Lytechinus pictus: one gene and its partner. The protein of the gene in region 1 interacts with the protein of each later gene in a pairwise test. Links are inferred from orthologs where the notes say so. Each region holds a gene or a part of one and is shown on either strand. Other genes may lie near its edges.

Region 1 (7,606 bases):
TGTACATGCTAAATGGATGTTTCGAATCAGCAACATACAATTTAATACTCAATTCACCACTCTGGACGTGCATAATTCATGATATTATTACTCTATCAGTTAATGGAGCATATTTTAGAGGATTTGTGGTTACTTTATCAATATAAGGTGGATTTAGTCTAAAGATCCAAGGTAAAAATTGAGACTTGAATTAAAAGTTGAAGAAAGCCAATGGTCATGATGTCTTGATCCTGTTGATGCGGGTGTCTGACGAGAAAAAATGTTTTTCTTATCTGAAAAAAATATATATCATATTTCTTGGTGGATTTGAAGAGAAATAACCTTCAGAGTGACAGGAATGTAACATTTTATGAAAAAAAAATAGTACATGGCGGCAAAAAACAAGACTGTATCTAAAAGATGAGACACAAACAAATCTATATTTTGAGCTTCCGAGAGCTGTTACACTGTAGGTCTACAAATTCATCTTGATTAAAAAAAATTGTCCATAAAGTGTCTTATAGGAAATTTGATGCTCTTTCTGATGGTATGTTTTTTTTTAAGTAGGGTGCCTCAAGCAACAGTGAACAAGAGTGTCTCAAAGGCGAGCACATAAATACTTGCATCGGCCAATAAATATCATGAATCTTCCCTTAAAGACCCTGACCGGTGTAAAAACAATCATATATCAAAATAAAGGTAATGATGATGGGTGATGATGGGTTCTTGTATAGCGCCGGTATCCGCCTCAGCTGGGCGCTCATGGCGCTTGCTCAAAAATAGGAAATATCTCACAAATTTCAATGTCTTCAAACAGTGCTTAGGATCATCATTCAGTTCAAGTACTGTCCTAGTAATGCTACAATTGAGTTATTCTTGCAATAATGTTGGAGTGGGGAACAGAAAAGTCTTCAGGTAAGACTCAAAAGTTGATTGGGATATGATTCATACAATACGAATATACCCAAAATATTACATATATCTCCTTCCAATAGTTAAAAATATTAAATAAAAATCAAAGAAACTGCTCCTCCAAAGTACGCTTCGATTGAGCACCCCCACGTCGCCTGGAAATGATGACGTCACGTTGTGTCAGGAGGGTTGTGATTCCATAGGTTTGTGTACAAAAGCATTGGGTATTTTCTTCCATTTCCATGTTATGAATCCATTTTTTTTTTCGTTTTCAGATGAAAATGGCACTCAAAATTATTCACTGTTCAAATTGTTGTAAACCTACAACTATTCACTACCTTTTTTGTGATTTCTTTGTTTGGCTCTTATTGGGCCTAAATTGTCAGGAAAAGTTGTTATACATAATCTAAATGCAGATAGAATTGAAATCTGCGCCAAATAAGCAGGAAATAAAATATGGCAAAAACTAGTTCAAAACTGCAGATTTCATAAATTCAAGCTTGTGGGTAAAAATATATGTGATATCCCTCTGTGATAGAAGTGAAGAGAATGAAATGCGTTATCTGGAAAGCAAAAAAATCACCCAGTTTTTCTGTGTACAAACCTATGGAATCACGACGCTTCTTACACAACGTGACGTCACGGTCTCGAGGCAGGTGAAAAGCACAATAAAGCCTATTTTCTAAGCGGGGTTCGAAACCCGATAATTGGAATATTCTTAAGCAAAATACTCAGCTGGGAAGCGGTGAAAATGCATAAAGCATACCTTGGTGTATTTAGTAGCTTATAAGCTTTCGATTGGTATATAATTTATCAATTTCATTTTCGGGTCCGGTCTGGATCTTTAACATTTAAGGTAGTATTCATGATATTTATCGGCCGATGCAAGTATCTTTTTTATCTAAGTTAGCACTGCTCATGTCATGATATTGTCACTGTCTATACGCATCATGTAGTTAGGCTACGATAACAAAGACGGCTAGGCAAGGTGGCGACAATAACAGACTGTTAGTACAGGTAAACGCTCCTCTACTTTTAACATTTTCAAGTTTTTTATGTTTAATATTATTTAAAAATATGACTCTTTAGTGCCAACAGGGTCCAAATGGTATTGTAGCCCATTTATTTTAGACTATAAATTAAAGGGTAGACAATGGCACCAGGGGCCCGTTTCATAAAGGACTTGCAACTGGTGCAACTTTGCCATTATGGCAATTACCGTGGTAACCTTGATTATGATTGGCTGCTGAGCCCTGTTACCATTGTAGTTGCCATTATGGCAAAGTTACAACAGTTGCAAGTCCTTTATGAAATGGGCCCCTGATTGGTGCTGTAGACATGTGTCCGAAATATCAATAGGTGAATTGGCCTCAAATTTTCATTCTATATTTTGAGTGAACAATGTAGTTACATGTAGCGACATCTTCATATTTTCTGGCAGCCAAGTTGATTATCTATCAATGTGACATGTTTCCACAGCTCCCCAGAGGCTCAAACAGAGCCAGGTCAGCATAAAGACTTTAAAATGCTTATTTTCAGCCACTAACCCACACAGTATAGCCTAAGGGGATGGGCCAAATGCTAACTTACATGCATTTCCAGGCGCATTTTATGGAGTATTTAAGCCTTATTTTTCACTATTTAGGAAATTTTGACGTAAGCTTTGAGCAATGTCTTTGACAATCATGCTAATAAAGAATATATTAAGGTAAAGTTTTTTAGTAGTAATGGTGTTTCGTTTTTTTCCGTTGTCCTACCTGTTTAAAATTGGGCTCAAAACCCAAAAGAAAACATATATTTTGGAGCAACTTTATGACTTTTTTTCTTCTGTATAGTGAATTTTATTGCCCTGCATTTCCCATTAAACTAAAAAATGTAGGCCTATATTATAATTGACTTTGTATTACTTTGATGTAAAGACTTGCAAATGAAGTGATATATAACAACTTGGCAAAATATTCAGGAGCCTGAGTCCTGGCTGTGCTAACCTCGACTTGGGCTGAAATTAAAATGAAAAAACTTCCCGTAAAAAAAAAAAGAGTGCCATTTTTTTTCTGAGTAAATCAGCCCGTTTTTAATGACAGAAATTTTCCAGTTTGGCTTCAGACACTGATTACTTTAACTGCATCACAATAAAGGGCAAGGCAACAAGGATAAATCCATAATAACATCGAACAATAGCATTGATTAGCTGCCTTGAGTCGGACTCTTGTCCTAACTCCTAGATTATATAGTTAATTTCACATGACATAAATTTCAACACGTCGGACCGAAGCCGGTCGAAAGGAACACTGCGCAGGCGGGATATTATCATTAAAAGCAAAGCCAAAGGGTACAGCCGTACACAAAAGCAGTCAAGCACTCTTAAAACTCTCTCTCACATTGAATTAATTCGAAGAACGTTCACAAGTATTTTCTTCTAATATAATCAAGCAATGAATACTTACGGAAGGTCTACACAAGTGAAAAACAAGTAAAGAGTGTTCACTTATTTCCAACAGAATCGTTGTGCGTGCAATTCTCGTTTTGTATAAAGCCCTAGCCCTCTATAGTCCAAACAGGAATATTCGACAGAGGATTTTTATAATTTTACATAAATTATTTCGAATTTTGTGAGACTGGAGTTGCTGCTGAAACTGCATAAAAAACACAATATCAAAAAAAATTGTTCGCCGCCCCCCCCCCCCCTTGTCCGCAGCTCCTTTCGTCATTTTTCCTCTTGATTGAGAGTTGATAGTTCCATGACCTAGACTTCTTATTTTTTCCCCCTTTTTTTTCTTAATTCATTATTTCAACTTTGTGCACTATCTCTCTTGTATCCTTCCTCCGTTCACCCTGAAAAAAACTTTGTTGTAAAAATAGCAGAAAAAATAATAAAAATTATTGGTGAAGGTTTGAGGAAAATGCGTTAAAGAGTAAGAAAGTTATTAGAGTTCAAAGTTTTGGATTTGTGACGTCATAAACGAGCAGCTGCCCCATGTGTTATGTAATATAAAATGCATGAATTTCAAATTTTGCATGGTTCCTGATGACTTAATTTTGTTTTCTATTCATGATCGGGTGTGAAATGATTTGTCTATTGATATACAAAAGGTACAGTGAAAACCATTTTCAATTTTCTGAGAAAATGACATTTCATTGATTTTTTACCATTCGCTATGTAGGAATGCTGCTCGCATATGACGTCACAAATCAAATAATTGAAATTCTAATAACTTTTTAATTATTTGATGAATTTTTCTCAAACCTTCGGCAATATTTTTTACTATTTGTTCTGCTATTTTTACAATAAACTTTTTGTCAGGGTGAACTTCCCCTTTAAGGTCGGAGATCGCTGGTAACAGTTGAAAAATGTAAACACTTCCTAAGAGTTGTTAGAGCTGGTGAAGTTGCTGAGGAGTTTTTGGCGGGTTGTGTGAAGGTTGCGAATGAAATATAAAATAAATGTGTGGAGCTGGGTTTTGGTGTCATTACTATGGTGCACAGGGGGAAGAAAGAGAACACATTCACTTTTCACATATCACTTTTCTCAGGGGGTACCCACTACCCAGCACTGACTCCGCCCCCCCCCCCCCCCGTATCGACGCCCCATATAATCAACATTTTCCATGTATAAAGTATATCCACGGCAGAACCTTGCTGTAAATCTACCAGTTCGCACAATGAATTTACTTGATGAGAATGAATTAATTATAAGGATAATCGCACAACAGAGGTTATATTTTCAACAGCCCTTGAACCCAAAAAAGTGCGTCGATCACCCTTTTTTCACAGTCACATACAGGGGCCGCGGAACCGGGGGGGCTGGGGGGGGGGGGCTTCAGCCCCCCACTTTTTTTCAAAACCGTGTACAAAAACGTAAAAATTACCATATGATTGTGATTTTTAGCATGGTCAGCCCCCCACTTTTGGCTCAGCCCCCCCCCCCCCCCCACTTTGAAAACCGTTCCGCGGCCCCTGACATAGATCGAGGCAAAATCAACTCCAAATTAACCAAATGTAAAACGCTATTACCAATGACCTACTATCGATTGGTTTCTAGTTGGTGTCGTACTTGTGAATGTACGAGTCCATGGCGGTTACAGGAAGGGGCACAACGCCCCCCCCCCCCTTGAGAGCCATAACAAATCTTTGTAAGGGGATATGTTGTGCATACGCAAGTGAGGACCCCCCCCCCCCTTTATTTATTTATTTTGTTTGCTTGTCAAATATTTCATTCATCATCACCATTAATTTGGAGTGAAGCCTAGCTTTCTTGAGGCTTAGTTTTTTTCTGTATACAATGCCCCCCCTGGAAATTCCTGGATTCGCCCCTGGTATAATCATGTTGTCTTAAGTACGTTCAATGTATAACGGAAATCTCACGATTATTATTATTTCCCATTATTCTTCCAACACTTTACTCTTAATTATTCCACTAAATCGTGTTGCATTTGGAAATTTATGATGAATGGGGATAATTTCATAAATATTTTGCTTTAACGCGTTGTCAGATCTGACAAAGTTCCTTGATTTTGATTGGCTGTGAAGCACTGCTACCATGGTAACTGTCGGATTAAACGTCTGACAGGTCATTTCATCAGACGCTCCCCTGAGAATCAGGAGCATGCTAAGATATTTTTTTCTCACCATCTTAATTGTAGCGTGTTCATCAATAACATTAAATGTTTATATAATATTGATACAATCACCTGAATTGTGCGATGAACCAAAATTCCACACTTTTATGCATTTATGATTCTCATCTTATATAATTTGATACAATTTTAATCATTGCGGAGTTTTTTTTTCGGGGGAGGGGTAAATCTCCCATAAACACCCGCTTACTTCATCCGCCCCTTTTTATGGGGGGCGTTCACAATTTCCCTTAATATACGAAATATATGAAACATTTGAAATAGTGTATCTTAAAAAAAACATTTTATTTAAAACGAATATATTGCAGACCCAATGTCGGATCGGTAGGGGGGGGGGCTTAAAAATAGACTTTAAAAAGTGCAAGATAGAGGTGTTTAAAACCGGCTATCTCTCTCAATTGTGATTTATTTCAAAATCGAAATGGCTCAAGTTTTCTACCGCAAACTTAATTGCTAATTATAATTTTAATTAGTTAATTTCCTGTCTTTGTTACTATCATGGTCATCGTAATCACGTGATAATGAGAAGCTTGGCATCGGGCCATTATTATAAACAGGGCGGGATGGGGGGGGGGGGCTTGCCCCTTAAATTCTTCAAAACTTCCCTTTTATTAAAGGGGCTCCTTTAATATAGAGATATTTACAAGACCAAGCCAAAACAAATTCCATTTTCTTTTCTTTTTTTCGCCCCAATTTTTTTTATCCTTTCCCTATTTTCATTCTCTTTTTAATAATTTGTTTATTTCTTCGATTGGAAAAAAATATGGTTGGCAAACTCTGTCCCCCTTCCAATCGAAATTCATCAACCACCGCACATGCAATTACACCCAATCATTGCAGGCTTCTATTCATTAAGTACGTTTTGTCTACATGCCACCTTTTAAAATAGAGCGAATTAGAATATCTAAAGGGCAAGTCCAATCCAAGAGGCAGTTGGGTTGAATAAAAAGTGTAAAATGACACAAGCATCAAAGTTCATCAAAATCGGATGTGAAATAAGAAAGTTACGAAATGCTTTACAATCACTTAATTAAAAAACAGTTATATTTACGCCGTGCTCCTATTGTGGGGGACTGATGGCATCACCTACTCTCCACTTATTTTGTATTATATTGTATGAAATATGAATTTTAAAAAATGTTTTCACCCAAATTTAAGGTCATTTTCGTCCACGGAAAATTTGACAAGCAAGAAAAAAATGGTCCTCGTTTTCAAGGGGGGGGCACATTTGTGTTAGAACGGCAAATTTACATTGTAAATGTTTATTATGCCTCTCAAGGGGGAAGGCATGGACCAGATGTGCCCCCCCCCCCTGGATCCACCAGTGGAATTGTATTTTGTATTTATGTTTTTGTTATTTGTATGTTCAAACAAAAAATGGATATAGAAATTAATGAAATAAAACCAAAATAAATTCAAACAAGGTATTCCTGAACACATGCCATATGGAATTGTCATTGTTTAATTATTTTGTGGTTCAGTCAAGTTGGTCATTATTGTAAAAATAAATAAAAATCCTTACTTCAAACTAAAAAAAAAAAAGAAAGAGTGAGAGGCATCATCGACTCTTACATTTGCATATCATACATACTGAGTTATGTTTTGTAAAAAAAATAAGCAAAACTTTAAAATTGCATATTTTTCTTATTTTACATTCTGATTTGAAATTTTCAGATTTATGCTAGTTTGATTTTTCTCTTTTGATTCAAATCAACATTTACTGGGGTGGAATAAACCTTTATTTACAAATAGTCTATATATGCACAAAAATGAAAAGTACAGGTCATTCGCCTTCCTCTGATTACACAATCCTGAAATTTCCACGAAAAAAGGCAGAGATAATCTTCGAGACTAAAAGTGTTGACAGACGTCTAACCACGATTAATACAAGTGAGAGATGTATTAATCCATATGGATTTAATTCTAATCACGTGCAGCATTAACGTTTGATTTTACACTGGTACATAAATGCGTAATGCACTTTCCTGCCTTTTAGTATGCGAAAGGGATCGGATGCGTAGACAACTGCAGTTCGTCGAATGCAGCTAGCTGATAGATAGGGATACCTCACGCAATTC
Region 2 (7,912 bases), on another chromosome or scaffold:
TGAGGGAGATACCTGATATATTTCCCTAAGTATGGTTCATATGGATCTTCTGAGGTAAATATGTGTTGTATCTCCAAAAATTAACCCCAGTGAACATTATTATTATTTCCTACAGCTGTGTAATTTATAATCCAAGGTATCAATTGTGGCAATTTGTATGCTTGTTTGCACATCGTTACTTCTGAATCTGATTTCAGGTTTTTTAATGAAATAATCCTGGCTAAATAACCAGCAGAATTCAAGTATCCGTATCGTTCCACCTCTGCTACACACATGAGCGCCAACTAGTGCGTAAATGTACAAGTTGTCTAAAATTATCATCTAAATCGTGCTGATATTATGACATCTGCAATCACCACAGAAAGCAATTTCTCGCACGCAATTAACTGGTGTTCTCAGCAAAATTTGATTTATGCCCAATGCTAATGGGGGCAATCAGGGGGCAACAGGCACAAATCTTGTTAACTATGCTCGTTGCCCTTGGTAACCACATTTGTCTGTTGTTTTGCAGGCATGGTCAAATATATGACCCCACTTTTGACCAATCAGAGGAAAAGATTATTTGACATTCTTAAAGAAAAGAGGAAAAGATTATTTGACATTCTTAAAGAGAGGTTTATAATGCTCTTTATTAGTTATGATTTCTATATTTGGGTAATAAGTAGCAGTAGGCAAGCTACATAGGTTATCAATGGACACTTACTTCTTGCCAGCTTTAGTTCCTTTGCCTGGTTTACTCTTAGCAAACAAGGCCTGGTCTAGTTCATTAAGCTGGACCCCCTTGGTAGTGAAGAGACGCTGGGCTCGTTGTTCCAGGGTCCCACCACATTTCAGCCCAAGCGCCATCAGGGCTGACTTCAGACGATCAAGACCAAGCGAGGCCAACTCCTGTACGTGAAAGAGTAAAAGTTCAATGTAAGTCTCAAATTTGCTTATCCCATCACGTGACAGGTTAAATAGTACAACTCTCCACATATTTTGTACTCAATATGCTTTCTATGGTGATCCTCAGCTAGGCAATATTGCTTTAAAGTAACAGGTTTAGTAGTACAACTTTCCATATTTTCCTTCACAAAATTTCCCTTAATTAAGGTGTAGTTGGTCTCCTTTTTAGCACCACTTATGTCATGGGTAAATGTATTTGACACAATATAAGTTGAGTTCACCAAAAGTACAAGCAGAATCTTTAGATATACAGTAAAGGAGAACAGGAGAAACTATAAAATTTGAGTACAAAACATATTGAGATTTGTACTGTCATTATAAAGCAACTTTTCTTGGGTGAAAGAGCCGTTGCTCTGGCAACAGGCCATTTCCAACTTTGCCATTTTGAGGATTGCCAGAGGAAGTAAATCGAGTCTTCAAATTTCACAGGTTTTTCATTTTGTCACCGATTCTAAAGGAAATTTTCAGGGAAAAAATGCTTCCCTTTACTCTCTCCTTTCATTTAAAAGACTTACCCCAGGGATTTCCCCTTTCCTTAGAAAACTCACAGTAAATCACCAATTTGTCTAGACCAGCTTTGTCTTCAACTAGTTCAAGTACTAATAAATTTGGCTAATTACAATGCAAGCCCAATTACTGCATTGTCTTATTTTCAGTTAGGCTATATCCACTTTGTTCTTTATCCACTTAGTCTAATAACACTTAGCCTATATAGGGTTAGATGACCAGTCTATGAACCAAATTTTCAGTTTGAAAAAAGTAAAATATAAGTAGAATAAGTGGAAATTTATAAACCCACCAGAAATGGACTAAATGAGGATTAGATGAAATAGGTATTGGATCAAGTGCAGTGTAGACCAAATGGCAGTTAAATTGGTAGTAGATATAATGGGTTTAGCCTATGTTGTAATAGACTATCTAGGAAGTAAGCCAAATGATGGTTGAACCAAACTGTTATTAGGTAGTAAGATAAAGTTATGTTCAGCCCATGTAGACTATCTGAGAGGAAGCCAATCTAGGTGTAGATTACCTCTGATGATGAGAAGGCAGACAGGTCAAGATGAGCACCAGCATGGGTCATAGCACTCGCTGCTTCTTTCTGCATATAACAAATGAAAATAAACACACAAGACTAATTTGGACTTCAAGGACATCTATAATACAGGCCCCAATTTTCTAATACATAGATTTCTTGTTGTTTGGTGAGACATATAAAATGTATGATAAAGCAATGGTAAAAATCTCAGAAAAAAAGTCAGTTTCCATTTTACAGGCAAAGCTGAATGAAGATAAAGCATGAAAAACACACACTAAACACTGCAAACATGTATGATTAGCAGATCTTCCTGTCTTGTATCATAGTGGATATTGCTTTCATACTGGTACTCAAGATTTTCACTGCATTTCTTGTACTCCACTTCTTTGAGGGAGGACTGGAAAATTATGTTTCCTATGAACTTGGTTGTATACGACAACCAAGAGGATATTGAAATGACTTTCAACCACACCCAACTCTTTCTAAAACACCACAGCACATGAGATGACTCACCGGCCAGCCAGGGAAAGTACCTGCTTCCCACTGAATATCAAACTCTTTCTTGACCTTATCTAGTTCCTCTGCAAAGTCCAAGATTGGTTTGACCCTTGACGCATAGTCCTGCAGATAACTTAGTATTAGGTCCAGATACCTAGGATAGGACATAAAGAAAGATATAGTTAGAATGTTGGTAATCAGCATGGAAATATGGGCCTTCTTATATCATAATACAGATAAATAAGAGAAAGAGAGAGAGGGGGGAGGGGAGGGGTGGAAACTGGCAGGAATCCCTGGATATTGATAATGATCACATGGACAATGGAGAATCATTACCTAAATCAAGCTGGGTTTTTTACCATAGGATAGAGAAAGAAAAAGAAAGGGAGAGAAAGAAAAAGAAAGGGAGAGACAGAAGGATAATGAGTAAGAGAGCATGGATGAATGAGAAAAAAATGTATTTCTTCTTCATTTAGTTGGATTCTCTAGAATTCATTGAATGATTGTTACCACAACAGGAATAGACTTACCGTCTATATTCCGCATTCTTCTTATCCTTTGATATTTCAAAGAGCCGATCAGCAATGGAAAGGTAGGTCACATAGTCGACTTTCTATAGGATTGAAAGAAAGAGAAAACAGTTCAATATGAAATTACATTTCACATAATATTTGGGATTGGATTTGAATTGATATGTTTATTTACAGAGTTGCCAACTTTGTGCTACCAAAAAAAAAAGTAATCATGATGGCTAAATATAAGCAAATTCCAGCAAAGGTTGAATTTCCCACAAAAAAGGGAATTCATCAACATGAACCTGTCAGAAGCTTATTCAAACTCCCCTTTACTAGCCAGTGGAAGAGCCTATTTGGTTGAGTAACTCCCTAATTTGTTTATGAATAGACCAAACCTAACTGCTAGAGTAGGCAACCCCTCACTGTGTTTGATAGCTATTGTGTGTGTGCACTGCATAGGGCTATGCAAGCAAATGTTCAGCAGACTGCAGATAAGCAAGCATAGGGTGCAGCAGCATCTTTCAGCAGCTCCTTGGCTGGGAAAGCCAGCACTTTGGTGCCACGCCTTTGATATTTGGAGTGGCATGTAAGCCAGCAGTGGTTGGTACACTGGTTGGAATTCAAGGTCCAGACTGTAAGTTGATGTTTTATTTTACCATATTATTATGAAAAGCTATGATTATATTTAGAACCCGTGATGTTGATTTGTATTACAATTAAACATGATGAAGGATAATTATGCTATTTGAAGACTAAGATATGAGACATACATCTACATGTAAGATATCAGATATTATATTTATATGTCTAACACATGTCATGAAATGATTGTTTTAGGAAGTGACCTAATTATCTAATATTTAAAACTTGAAAGGTATTTTGTCCTTTATCAAGACAATTAGTCTATTTATACAAATGTCGAAGCTTCTGTTTAAACACTTGTTAACTACGAGAGTGGTGACTTTTATATGAGTAAGGACACTGCTATTAGGTACTCGGAAGCAAGTATAGAAAGTTCATTGACCTGCTTGAATGTACTCAGCATTTATTCTATTATAAACCATTTGAATAACAGAAATGATATGAACTGTAGGCTGTTAATCCTTGCGTATTCTCTTCCAGACGGCCGTTTTCTCGATGATTTATCCACGTCTCTTGACGTTTTACCACGTGTCTCCACGTTTCCATGTATTGCCATGGTTCTCCTCGTTTGGCAATGTTTAGCTACGTCCTACGTCTTGTGACGTTCACGGCCTCTTCGACGTCTTACGACGTTCTACGATTGCTACGTTCTCTACGGAAAGTCCCGAGTTCTTGGTTAGTTCATCGCATTCGCGAGTTCATCCCCATATCGTCTTCCGTTCGGCACATTTCTTCAGCATCGCATGATCAATTTGGACATTGATGCATTTGACGTCTGACAACGGGTGATGAGTGAAGACTTGAGAAACTGAACTTTCCCCACAGTCGGTATACGTATACTATATAGATTGTTTTCATAAACACAGAGTTTATGCTCTTTCCTTGAATAGGAATTGCAGGTCACAATACTAACTTAATTTGTCTAGATTATACTAATTTGAATTGAGACAGATTGTTCCAAAACGTTGTTGATACTGTTTTCTTGATCTTTATGTTTTGACAGCTTGTGAGCCTCGATAATGGCAATATTGATATATATAATAAATTCATTTTGATCGAAATGTACAATTTCATCTTATAGTTTAATTCTTGGGTGGTCAAACAGCCTGATTAGAATAATAAGTCAAGTTCACATCAAACACAATGTGACAATTTGGGGGCTTGTCCGAGTTGTTTGGGCCATAACATACCCTGTTGGTTGAATTAATTGGTATAGGATTTGATTGTCTAGGATTTTCTGTTTGTCTTTATTGGTCAACAGACATAAGATTTAATTGGTCGATGACATGACCCCTCGCAAAATTTGTGATACGTACTTATGAACAAATTTCTGTTCAATTTTCAGAATTTAGCCGAAATCCTTCAAGTTCTTTGTGTCAGTGGGCCAAGGACCATCCAGTGCACCAACACTCCTGCTAGCGACGAGCATGCGCAGCAAGGTCAAGTGCGAGTAAAGGTTTATTTTGGATTGTCGGTGAGTTGCAAAATTGAATATGTATGAAAATTGTGCCACACAAGTTATCAAACACCCCTATAAGAAATAGTTGATATAGTATATAGTTACTCAATAGTTCTTTGACTTAGGTAGGGGTAGTTTGAACATTTAAACATGAGTACTAAGTGGTTTGAGATTGGTAAGGAATTAGGTCTGTCAGGGCCTGAGCTTCTTTCATTTGTAGGAGAAAGGGAACAATTAGAGCGAGAGGAACGTAGGGCTAATAGAGAAGTTAGGAAAGAGGAAGAAAAAATTCTGGAGATGAAACTTGAATTGGCTCGTGTTCAGAGCCAGAGTAGGTCTGATAGTATGATTGATAATGGTAATGGAAACGGTCGCACTTTGGCACCAACCCCTAAACTCCCTCATTTTGTTGAAGGAAAAGATAATATGGACGCATATCTCAAAAGGTTTGAGAAGTATGCGGAGGTTCAGTCATGGCCAAGAAGTAGTTGGGCCATTAGTTTAAGTGCACTCTTGCAAGGTAAGGCACTCGATGTGTATTCAAGACTTCCAGCAGATAAAGCTGAAGATTATGATGCCCTCAAGGAAGCATTGTTGTTAAGGTTTGAACTTACTTGTGACGATTTTCGTCAAAAGTTCAGGTATTCCAATCCACAGTCCGGGGAGACCCCAAGTCAATTTGTTGTTCGGTTAGAACATTATTTGAGTCGTTGGATTGATCTGTCAGGTACGCAACGTACATTCGATGGTGTAGTAGAAATGTTACTCAAACAACAACTGGTTGAGAGAGGTGGAACCTCTCTAGGTCTTTTTCTGAAGGAAAGGAAACCTAAGAATATTTCAGAGATGACTAGTCTAGCAGACACGTATGTAGAGGCCCATAGTGGTCACTTTGGAATTACCAGAAAAGATAAGAATGATAAGAAGGGTAAGCCACAAGGTAGTAGGTACCCTCAGTCAGACAGTCCCGACCTTTCGTTTGAGGACGCGCACGCTTATTTACGACGTTAGTTGATTTTGGAAGAGACTTTTTGGGCCCGTCATCATGGGTGTAAAACTCTGTACTACAATGCAAATTGTGTGACATGAGATTTTTTTTTCGTTTCGCATCTGCGACGGAAACATTCAATATGCGTTTCGTGTGCAAAATTTTGGTTGCTACTATGGTAACAGCGATATATCCGATTGAGGACGACTTTCCAAAGCCACATTTGACTCCTCCTAGAGCTCGAGAGGCCGCCCGGGGGCCCACTCCCATTGATTAGTGGATACCAGGAGCGACCACGCGTAAAAGGGGACAGAGTGGGCAGGTACGTTACGTATAGGCCTATGTAACGTTATAAGGGTGTCAAAACGATGTTTAAAATGCTGACAAAAAAGGGATATATACCCAATACTTGTAGGGTTTCACAAGCCAAATTCTTGTTCAGAGATGCATTTTCATAATCTGGAAAAGAATTACTTCCCAGCTTGTTTAGGGTACTTTTCGAAACCCCATGGTCGTGCCTGGTATCCACTCATCAATGGAAGTGGTCCCCCCGGAATTTGAATCTAATCCCCCATTTCTGGGGGAAGTAAAACATAATGCCCATTACATCGTGTGCGAGAGGCATATCGTTTGTGTAGAAGGAGTAAACAAAAGAAACAAAAGAAACAAAAAGAAACGATCGAGTTCAAACGTATTGCATATGGTGTGCACATATCAACTCACGCGAAATGTTCGGCTGGAGACTGGAGAGGTTGATCTGACCCATGAAATCAATTGCCAGTGATACACCAATAATCCACATTAAATCTAATATCGATTCGATGGACTGTAATGATCTATATCTAAGCCTTCATTCAGTAAGTTTTTCCTCACTCAATATGTACTCGATTTGTTTGAAAAACCATTTTCTTATCCATGTCATAATCTATTTTAGGTCTGCATTTCGAATATCTCCAGCCATTAGTCGTAATATACATGCATGTACATGTATGGTGCGGGTGTCGCGGAAAAGGATTTTGCACACGAAAAGCAGATCTGTAGGGCCTGTAACCCCCCTGTAACACAAAGCTTGGCATTGATTGTAGAGCAGTTTTCTACGTTTGATTCTATTGACTATAATGCACAATCAATCTTAAAAATCAAGTGTATTATTAAGCGTTAACTTTTGTGTTAGGGGACCCTAATATTAGCGTCCGTGAGGATTGCGAAAGGTCCCAAGTGAAGTTAAGACAAGTCCGGGGATTTTAAGAAATCCGCCTCCTGAACGGAAAAGAATTGGTCCATGTTTCATCTGTAACAAGATGGGGCATTTAGCAGCTAAATGTAACTCCAAATTACAAGGTGCAAGTCTAATTTGTAGTACTGATCATTCAAAAAGTAGTAGCCAAAATCAGAAAAGAGAATCAACTCAGTATGAAACAAATAGTAAAGTGGCAGTTGATAGTAGGTCAGATTCTTGTGCAACTTGTTCGCTTGTTAGTCCAGATATGGAAGGAAGTGAGACACTTGGACTTTTGTTAATGTCTTTAGTTAGTGAGAAAGATAAGTCAGAGATAGTTACTAGAGATACCTTACAAAAATCACTGATGATGTGTGCTGCATGTCAGCGTCGTTGGCATGGTAAGTTAACTGTTGTTGAAGGTAGGTTTGGATCACACAAGGTTGATGTCCTTTATGATTCAGGATGTTCCGGTGTTGCGGTTAAGAAAAGTCTTGTGAGGTCAGATCAACTTACTGGTAAATATAGACAATGTGTTTTGATAGATCACTCTCTGTAGGTTTCCTACTGCTAATGTTCATATTAGCTCCCCTTTGTTTGTAGGTACAAT

Evidence for each region.
Region 2: the proteins of splicing factor 3A subunit 1-like (region 1) and splicing factor 3A subunit 3-like interact in a two-hybrid assay, tested with the Caenorhabditis elegans proteins (2 studies listed by BioGRID). The link is inferred for Lytechinus pictus from reciprocal best matches to the Caenorhabditis elegans genes prp-21 and prp-9.

Annotation. Positions count from the first base shown.
Region 1 is NC_087250.1:20,509,521-20,517,126, reverse strand, and holds the start of splicing factor 3A subunit 1-like, read right to left. Parts: upstream 3,453-7,606; 5' UTR 3,339-3,452; intron 1-3,338.
Region 2 is NC_087248.1:31,928,654-31,936,565, forward strand, and holds the start of splicing factor 3A subunit 3-like, read right to left. Parts: upstream 3,452-7,912; coding exon 3,395-3,451; intron 3,093-3,394; coding exon 3,010-3,092; intron 2,634-3,009; coding exon 2,495-2,633; intron 2,045-2,494; coding exon 1,976-2,044; intron 889-1,975; coding exon 704-888; intron 1-703.